3 linked regions of the Drosophila melanogaster genome follow. The protein of the gene in region 1 interacts with the protein of each later gene in a pairwise test. Each region holds a gene or a part of one and is shown in the gene's direction. Other genes may lie near its edges.

What was found. The genes of interacting proteins can lie anywhere in the genome.
Region 2: the proteins of CG5217 (region 1) and whe interact in a two-hybrid assay, tested with the Drosophila melanogaster proteins (one large-scale study listed by BioGRID).
Region 3: the proteins of CG5217 (region 1) and CG12158 interact in a two-hybrid assay, tested with the Drosophila melanogaster proteins (one large-scale study listed by BioGRID).

What each region holds. Positions count from the first base shown.
Region 1 is NT_033777.3:19,246,552-19,249,963, reverse strand, and holds CG5217 (uncharacterized protein), read left to right. Parts: upstream 1-1,827; 5' UTR 1,828-1,936; coding exon 1,937-2,174; intron 2,175-2,285; coding exon 2,286-2,695; 3' UTR 2,696-2,912; downstream 2,913-3,412.
Region 2 is NC_004354.4:21,401,839-21,404,528, reverse strand, and holds whe (what else), read left to right. Parts: upstream 1-1,756; 5' UTR 1,757-1,811; coding exon 1,812-2,069; 3' UTR 2,070-2,190; downstream 2,191-2,690.
Region 3 is NT_033778.4:9,362,074-9,364,905, reverse strand, and holds CG12158 (uncharacterized protein), read left to right. Parts: upstream 1-1,999; 5' UTR 2,000-2,016; coding exon 2,017-2,070; intron 2,071-2,124; coding exon 2,125-2,256; 3' UTR 2,257-2,332; downstream 2,333-2,832.

The sequences.
Region 1 (3,412 bases):
GTCGTTGTGGTTGCCATAGCTGTTGCTGTTGCATGTAGCATGTTGTTGTTGCTTTCGCTTGTGCTGCCGACAACAGCAACAGCAGCAGGGCAAACAAGTTGAATGGCATCCAGAGATGGGCAGGGAAAGGGATTGTGTACTGCCAACAGCAGTTTGATTGTTATTGCCAATGAATGAATGCACTTGCTCCGAGGATTTGTCTGCCAGACGACCAACTTATGAGTTTCCATCTACAACTCCGGTCCAAGAGATGCGGCTCCTGCTCCAGCTTCGTTTGCCCCGAGGGTTGTGGCAACACATTTTGCGGTCTGCAGTTGCAGCTTCTGCTGTTTCTGCCGCTGCTGATGCCATTGTTCCCACTGCCCCACCGCAACACTGCACCACAGTTGGATCCCTGCGCCGCCACCAACTCCCATCCAGCGCGATGGTGTTGCTCCTGCGTAAGCCTGCAGGGGGTGTTTATGCTGTTTGTTGTTTGTTATTTGCCGTTTCGCAACTGTGTGTTGGCAATGAATTGGCTGCAAACAACATTTCCGTTTTGGCCATTATATGGCGCCCACTCTACAAATGGGCGAGCATAATAGCCGGAGGGGGAGGTGGTGCAGTTGGGGTTAGCTCCCCGTCGCCGCTGACATTTTCACACTTTTCAGCGGAGTGGGTGAGCAGCTGTTGGCGGCGGGCAAAAGGATTGCCTTGCATTATCCTTGTTCATTTCCCTTATACTTTTATTACTGATGATTTATTGATGTCCCTTTGTTGTTGGCGGCGTGGGGTTTTTTCATTAACTTTTTATCAAAGATCGGGGGTTGGACATAAATAAATGAAGGACACGAGCAATCACTTCAAGGGTTATGAAAACTGCCAAATTAAAGGGCAAACATATGAAGTATCTACTACCGTTAAACAAGATACATGTATAATGTTTTAAACGTTGTTTTCATTCACCATTCGTTGGTCTTCTTCTGATGCACGGTATTGCACTCTTATAGTAAGTAATTGATGAATTTTAATGGCTTTCAAATTGGTACGATAATGTATATCTGTTTTTCAGAATTTCAACACCTTCGCCAGACAATAGCATGCTGCAAGTGCCGCAGCAATTGTCCATTGTTTCGGGTATCCTGGCCAACCAACCGGCAATACATAACTACATAAATTAACGGACCTCGATTCCAGGACCAGGACCACGGAAAGGGATCGGGCCAGAGACGTAGGGATGGCGCAGTGTCGACAGCAGGAATCGCCACCAGCTCTTCAATTGATTTTGCGAAAGCACTTTGTTGGTGGGCCCCATCTCAGAAACGGAACACTGCAGCACTAACTGGACAGCGGACGGCGGACAACGGACGACGGACTTCGAAGTTCGAACATTTGAGACAATGGGGCAGCAGCAGCAGTAGCATAACAAGGGGTATTGTGTGCACGTATTGAATGAATTGCCTTTGGCTTTCATTTCAGCTCTTTTTTCTGGGGCTGCAGGCTTCAGTCCAGTTTGGCTTTGTCCTGGCCGGGAAACAGTTCGATTGCGGGAGAAAATGAAATCAAAGTCGTATCAATTTGAAACCTGTTTCGATGTCGTTGTTAACACATGTTAACCAAACGTAGCCAAATTGCCAAGGAAAATGCAAAAAAACGTGGCAGCAGAAATCGAAATTGATATTGTTTTTATCTACATGAGTTGTTAAAATTACAATATATATGTAAAGTACCAATCTCAAACTTATAAGGCTGTAAAATCCTTTTTAAACTCACTTAACTGAATTCTACTTTTCATAAAAGGTGACAAGAACTAGTTGACTCTGGATTTTCTGACACTTTGCATCTGGTGTTCAATTCAACAACACCAGTCACATTAATCTTATATTTCGTACAAAACCGAGCCATATTTTATTGTAAATAAAATTCGATAAAATTTCGGTGGACATATTGGACGAAGATGTCCAGTCTGCAAGATATTCCGCTTGCCGACCCCGAGGGCCTGTCTGTGGAAGGTCCCGAGGTGGCCCCCGCTCCAAAGTCCAATTCCTTGAAGCGCTTCTTTAAGATCAGCAAGAAGCCAATGATGCGCGACCAAGTGGAGGATGACGACGAGACATCCTCCCAGGACAACAAGGACCTGGGAAAGTCAAACACTATAAGTCGCTTCTTTACCCGGATGAAGGGAGCCAATAAGGGTAAGCTCTTTTGACTGGTATTAAATATGATTTGTTGAAAAAAAAATGATTGCCTAATGACTTACAATTAAAAGGAGCTCTTCTTGAATAATCATAAACCCCACTTGCCAGATGTTCAAGATCCTTCGAGCTCGGTGGTCGAACCCGTGGAGCAGGATAAGCCGTTGCCGAATGCAAAGCCCACGATTAAGACATCCATTTCATCCTACTGGAAGATACTGTTCAACCGGCAGAAGAGCCAGCGCCAAAACGCAGCTTTAGGGCAGACCAATGCCAATAAAGAGGATAACGAGTCTGAAGAAGTCCATGAACTGCAACCAGTAAGCCAAGATCCCGATACCGATCCTCAGCCGACAGTCAAGGATGAGCACGATGAAATGGAACGTGGCACAGATCCGGAGCCACCCAACCCGAAGCCCAACAAAAGTGTTGCCAGCAAGGCATCCGGTCAGGAGATTGTCAGTGCCTTAGAGGGCGGCCAGCTGTCTACCAATGATCACGAGAATGCGGCTTCCATTTAGCCGTCTTCAACTAACACTAATCAAACCCGATGTCTAGTATCTCTACCGATCTCGAGGCAAAGGTTTAGAAATCAGTTAGGGAGCTGATTCAACCTTACACAATATATACTCTTCAAACACATCCCTGCTAACTGACATACATACAAGAACAAACATTTTCGCTTTGATTCCACAAATGATAATTCCGAGCTCACGAAATAAACACATACAAGACCCCAGTATGTTGTCATGTCATCCTTTGTGGTAAATCCATCCGTTTTTGTTCGTCTAAGGGGTCACAGAGTTCAGTTAAATCGGTTGTTAAAACGTCTTCACTGGGGGGTTTTGATTACCTAAACGAGTTTCATGTTTTGCGTTGCAAACAGTGGGGTTAAAAGGTGCCGCATGAGCCAGACAAGCCCGAGAATTATTTGAGGTTTTCACTTTCGAGGGAAGCCCTAAAGATGAGCCACCCCCAAAAGTTGGCTAACTAAATCACGTAATGAGTATTTAATTGTTGGAAGGTGTGCTATTAAGGAATAAGGGTGCAGAAAGTTTTATTTTAAACTTTATTTCAGTATCAGTATACCAGTGCAAATTTCTTGGCTCAGTTCCAAAGAGGTAGATATAGATATATCTCAAGAATGAGTAGTTTTCTTATCTCGTGTCAGTACTTTGGAAAATCTGAAACACACCAGTTGCATATCAGGATAAACAGCTGGGCGATGTTTACCAACA
Region 2 (2,690 bases), on another chromosome or scaffold:
GGGTGTGAGTGGATTTGCGTTCGGGTTAATCAAAATGTGACCGATGGCAACGACAGCTGACCGCAAATCAAGGGAACGTCCGGGCGGCCAATTACCCCAATAATCAGAACCCGTTGGGAAATCTTTCTAATCGTCCTTGGCAGCAGTCCTGTGGACTGCTACTTGGTATAGATAACTACTAGCTAATAGCTGGCATGTGAAAAATCAGCTAATATCTATATCCGTATCCTTTAAGCTCTCATTAAATTTTTTAGCACACGAATAAGAAATTAAGTTTAGATGAACTGATGGTACAGAAAATGTAATTTATATCTGAAGAGCCATATATCAATCAAGCCATAATTGAAGCGACCGCCAATTCTTGAGGTTATAACGATTATCCTGTTCCCTCCGATTGAACTCAGAAATGAATCCAGACATCTAGAGCTTTGTATCGCATCCTGCGAGTCCCTGTCGTACACCCATGCTCTCCATAAAGCTACCACATAACGGCAGCCACATAGGAAAAGTGGAAAGTGCGGTGCTGAAGTGGAATATCCAGTCCACCGAGCTGGTTTTAGAGCGTCGAAATTGCCTTTTTATTGACAATTCACAGCACGCGCCGTTGAAACAGATCATCAAAGGTTATTACGACTACAGAAAAGGTCCTTTTGTTGCTGTTGTAAATAGATTCATAAGCAACACTACATGCCGGCAATTGCGAGACAGGAAAATAAGCGAAAAGAAATCCTGCGAGTGAAAGTGTTAACACTTAGGGTAAGCTATACACTCGCTGCAAGGATACTATATGTGGATATTCGAGAGTTGGTGCGTGCACTTCTCCGCGGGATAAAGGCAAATTTCAGTCTGAATGTCAAAGTTTGAGCCTGGCAGTACTTTGAAATATTCATAAGAACGAACACTAAGAAAAACAGGGTTAAAGTTAGCTCTCAACTACGATAAATAAAAAAATGTATGCTGGCTAAAAAAAAGAGCACGAAATAACGAAATTTAATGCAAGGTCCTGAAAATAGGCTCGTGTTGCAAAAAACCGGAAAGCAAGAAGCCGAAGCTCAATGTTGAAACATTTGTTTAGTACCAGAGATATGAATTTCCAAGTAGAACTCACACACGGTCATAAAGCAATAAAGCGGAATCATGTGCAGAAATTTTTATAAGTTAGGTGTATCATCCAAGTGGCAAATGCTCCAGGATCTTAGAAATGCGCGGAGTGTGGGATTTGTGGGGGCGAGACAAGTGCAAGTACTTTCCACTTTTTTTGGCCAAATCCCAGCAAAGAGCTTAAGGTTTCAGCTCAATTGTTTTGCCCGACTTTATTTCATTGCCATTTTTATATTTCCCCATCTTGGGTGTGCCGAGAAAAGCTTTAAGCTAAATCAAAATGCATATTTACGGAAAAGAAAAATCTATGAAACAGAAATCTTATAGTTAGATACTTTGCTAAAATAAAAAAGAAACGAAAAAACCTAAAGCTGTTCCAATAAATCTACATTTTATTCATTAGATCACCCGGAATAGCTTTAGGAAGTAAGTATAAATATAATGAATCTAAAGTTTCACAACCACGAGGTTAGTTTGTTTAATATTTTAAGATCACCAGTTGGCCAAGTATTTCCATTATGAAGGGTTTACACAACTTCACTTGGGTCATCGCTGTTTGCACAATGCTTCTGTTTGTCCATCGAAAACATAGAATTGCAAAACACCTGCAATAGATCCGATTCCGTAGAGATCTCCGAGGTATATATAGGGCTCGGGTGCAGTTGGTGAAGTCAATTGAATTTGCTAAGTCAATCATCTACAAAATCAAAATGCGTGTAATCTTCCTCATCGTTGTGCTCGCCATGGTGGCTCTGGCTGCTGTCCAAGGACGTCGTCCTCCAGGACTTCCGCAGGGAGGTCTGGGACCACTTCAGGGCTCTGGAGGACTCCAGCCGCCGCAGGGAATACCTCAGGGACCTCCCCAGGGACTCCCACAAGGACCTCCCCAAGGTGGCAACTCATCCTCCTCCGAAGACTCTTCCTCCCAGGAGAGCTCCAGCGAGTCCTCCAGTGAGGCGTCCGCCTAGAAACTCGATCGCCGAGTCCTTCATGTAAAAACATTCAAAAATCTTTAAATAAAGATATATATTCTGCTTATTTCAATATATAAAACCGTCCACCGATTCCATTAACTGCACCGATTTCCATTTCGAACTCCGAGTAATGGTTGCGTTGCTCCTGCCCGAGGAATGGAAATGGAAATGGGCCTGGGTGTGGGTGTGGGGGCGTGTCTCAAATCGGTTGCCTAAATAAGAAATCATTTTATTTGAAAAGTTTCCCTTTGGCACGCCCCCTCCAGCTGCCACCCCACTTTTTGGAAGGCAGAAGACGGCGACGTCTGCGTTTGGCGACACCAGCAACATCGGGCGAAACAAAAGCAACAAGGGCAACAGCGGTACAACAAAGCGAAGACACCAACAATAAGCTGAAGCAGCTGAAGGCGTTAGGAAGTACCCACACGACTTGGAAATACCTATTGTACGTATGAATTAAAAGCAAAAAAGAACAGCATAAAATATTACTTTCAAAGAGCGTAAAGCTACGTAACTAACAAGGCAACTAGATAATAAGCTATTAAGATAACAACTATTTGTTAAATGGCTTTAAATGATTAGGTACAAATCAAAGGATATTTCGAAATGATAATT
Region 3 (2,832 bases), on another chromosome or scaffold:
TGCCGCGCTGCGGGTCTCTTTGTGTGTGTGTGTCCTGTCCAAATGCGAGTGTCTTTTAAATACTCATTACAAAATTAATTCGGGGAAAAGTTTTGATAAAAATCCTATTATAAACATAAATAAATAGGCTGGCCAGAGGCAGAGGCGGAGTGCTTTGCGCGGGGGGGTCAAAGGACAAAGCAGTGACTGTGCAAACAATTGTGAGTGTGCAAAGTGGAAAAGTGGGCGGGGCCGTTGGTAGTGAAAGGTAGTGGCAAAGTCAAAGTCAAACAATGAGGCAGCCAACTGTAAAGGACGAGGGCTGAGACTTCATTAGTGCTCATCCACAATGTATGCTGGTGTCGTCTTGCTACCCGAATTTACCGCCCTCCTTCCCCCATATGGCCATCCAAATCCTTGGCTATTCCTCCGTCGTCCTGAAAAGTGCCGAAATGGTTATAAGGCGTTATGGGTTCGCCACTCGCTTGCGGTTTATTCAGCCGCTCAGTTCGCGACTATGGGCATATTCAATATTCATATTTCGCTGTGGCAGGGACATTTATTAACCGAAAAAAACCCACACAAGTACACAGTAAGAAATCTGCACAAAGTCGTTTATAATATTTTTAAAAATTATTTCTGCAACTGCTTGCATTGTTGTTACTATCATACGCATATGTATGTTTCTTATAGTTTATTTTAATTTTTCAAAATTATTGTAATAGAGTTCTTAGAAGATTAATTTCAAGAATGCCTCCCAACTTAACATTAGAAATTACCTATACTTGTATCAATTGTAACTAAATAATTCAACTATATGCACTTCCTTCAGTCTGCAAACATCGATGTGCCCATAGGTGGTGACAGGTGAATCGGCGGGCGGGACCCATCGTTGTTGTGTAAACTAGAAAGTCTTGTTTCTGTTTGGCCAACGTTCGGCAGAATTTAATCTCAAGCTGAAACCGAAGACATTTTGCCACTCAACGCTCGAAAATGCCGAGCGAAATTGCTTTGCCCGACCATGCCCCCAAGGTGATGGCGAGGGGCAAGTGAATGGGCGGTGGCAGTTGGATGGCAGGTGGATGGTGGGTGGTGTGCGAATCTCTTTCAAAACGTGTAGTGTCAGTCAAAGAATGGTGGCATATGGGTGGCTGGTGTGTTGGATTGTTTGAGCATACGCTCAAATTAAAAGACCGAGCAGCAATAGGAAATCCAGTTTGAATAATTGACGGTTTACTCTGCCTAGACAAACTTTATGAAAATGTAATAGTGCCTAAATGAATTGATTTCGAAAGCTTCGTAAAGTGCGAGGCTAAGGAAATTTAATATGCCACTTGGAATATTTTAGGAAAATAGTTTACCAAGACAAGATACAAAAAACCAGAGACAGTGTCAAAAGTATCGAATATCAGATACCTGTTACTCCGACTGCTTCCGTGAGTGCACACGAGCTCCACCTAGTGGTTATTTTTCAGTAACTGCTTATGACGCTCTGATGTTATCAAAGATAAAACGCCCAAATATTTTATAATCAATATAGCTTTTGAAGTCAGAGTGTGAATCAGATCGCTATATGTTGACTTATAAATTCTTACCATCCAAGTTAATTTTTCGCAAAACGTATTTGTTTTGGCGTGTCCAAAATGTTATTAAATTTAGAGCTCAATCTATACATTTTTAGTTAATTATAGCTATGATATGATGACCTTAGTGACATTTGAGAGATATTCTGGCTAATTTTTTCAAATTTGTTTTTCCAATTAAACAGCAAAATGATGGCTCCCCTTTGGAGTTATTTTGTCGTTTTAATATATTGTATATGCGATCAGATCGGGTCACACGCAATTACGACATTATAAATCAGATTCGAGCGAGCAAAATAATACAGAATGGCATTATTAACATACAAACTGATTTTGCCATTTTGTTCACTGCGATGGTTAATTGCACTGGATTATAATCTCTTGGGAACCGCAGTTGTGCTGTATGACTATAAAAGACCACATGTGTTGTTAGTTTACTAGTTTCAAATTCAACATGAAGCAGTTCGCATTGTTCAGCATCTTCCTTCTAATTCTGGCTGTGGGTTTGGTAAGAGTTGAAGGGTTTTCAATCATCCACTTGGCCTAACCAGAGGTTTTCCAGGCACAAATGCCGCTGCAGGTGGCCGCCCAGGGCCAAAATGGACATTCGCAGGGACAGCCGCCAAGACCGCCAAATGGCAATGGAAACGGCAACCAGCAGAGTGGACAAGGACAAAGCGGGCAGAACAACTAGAACTGGGATATTTCTGGAGGGGGACACACACCTCCTCGCCACTTTCCCAGTTACTTAAATAAACACTTTCCCCAGCAAACTAAAAACTTCGTTTCTTGAACCCCGTAAGCTTAGAAAGGCAAGCTCGATATTAATGGTCAAAGGGAAAAGAGAAATTCGAGGGTAGAATCTTAAAGCAAATTGAAATCGAAGGGAAAATAACATGACTGAATAGATTTGTCATCTTAAAGGCTCTGAAAACTTCCACTATCAGTTGAAAATATAGGCCCGCGTTTCTGTTTATGTATGTGACTAAAAAAAATGTTATGTTTTACACAAGTTCTTAGAGCCATATTGTTTTACAATTGTTATACACTTTTTTTGTATATTCATTCTCCTCCTCGCTTTGTGTATTTGCACTGCGTCTGGGCCAAGCCAATTTGGAAAACTTTATTAATAAAGTGCACAAATTATGAGCATGAAACTCACCCCTCAACCCCGCGCACATGGCCATAGGTCCATTCCGGCTGATGAGCCAGGAAAGGGGTTACAAAGGGGTTTCAATGCCGGGCTATTCGGAGCGATGGAAACCTACAA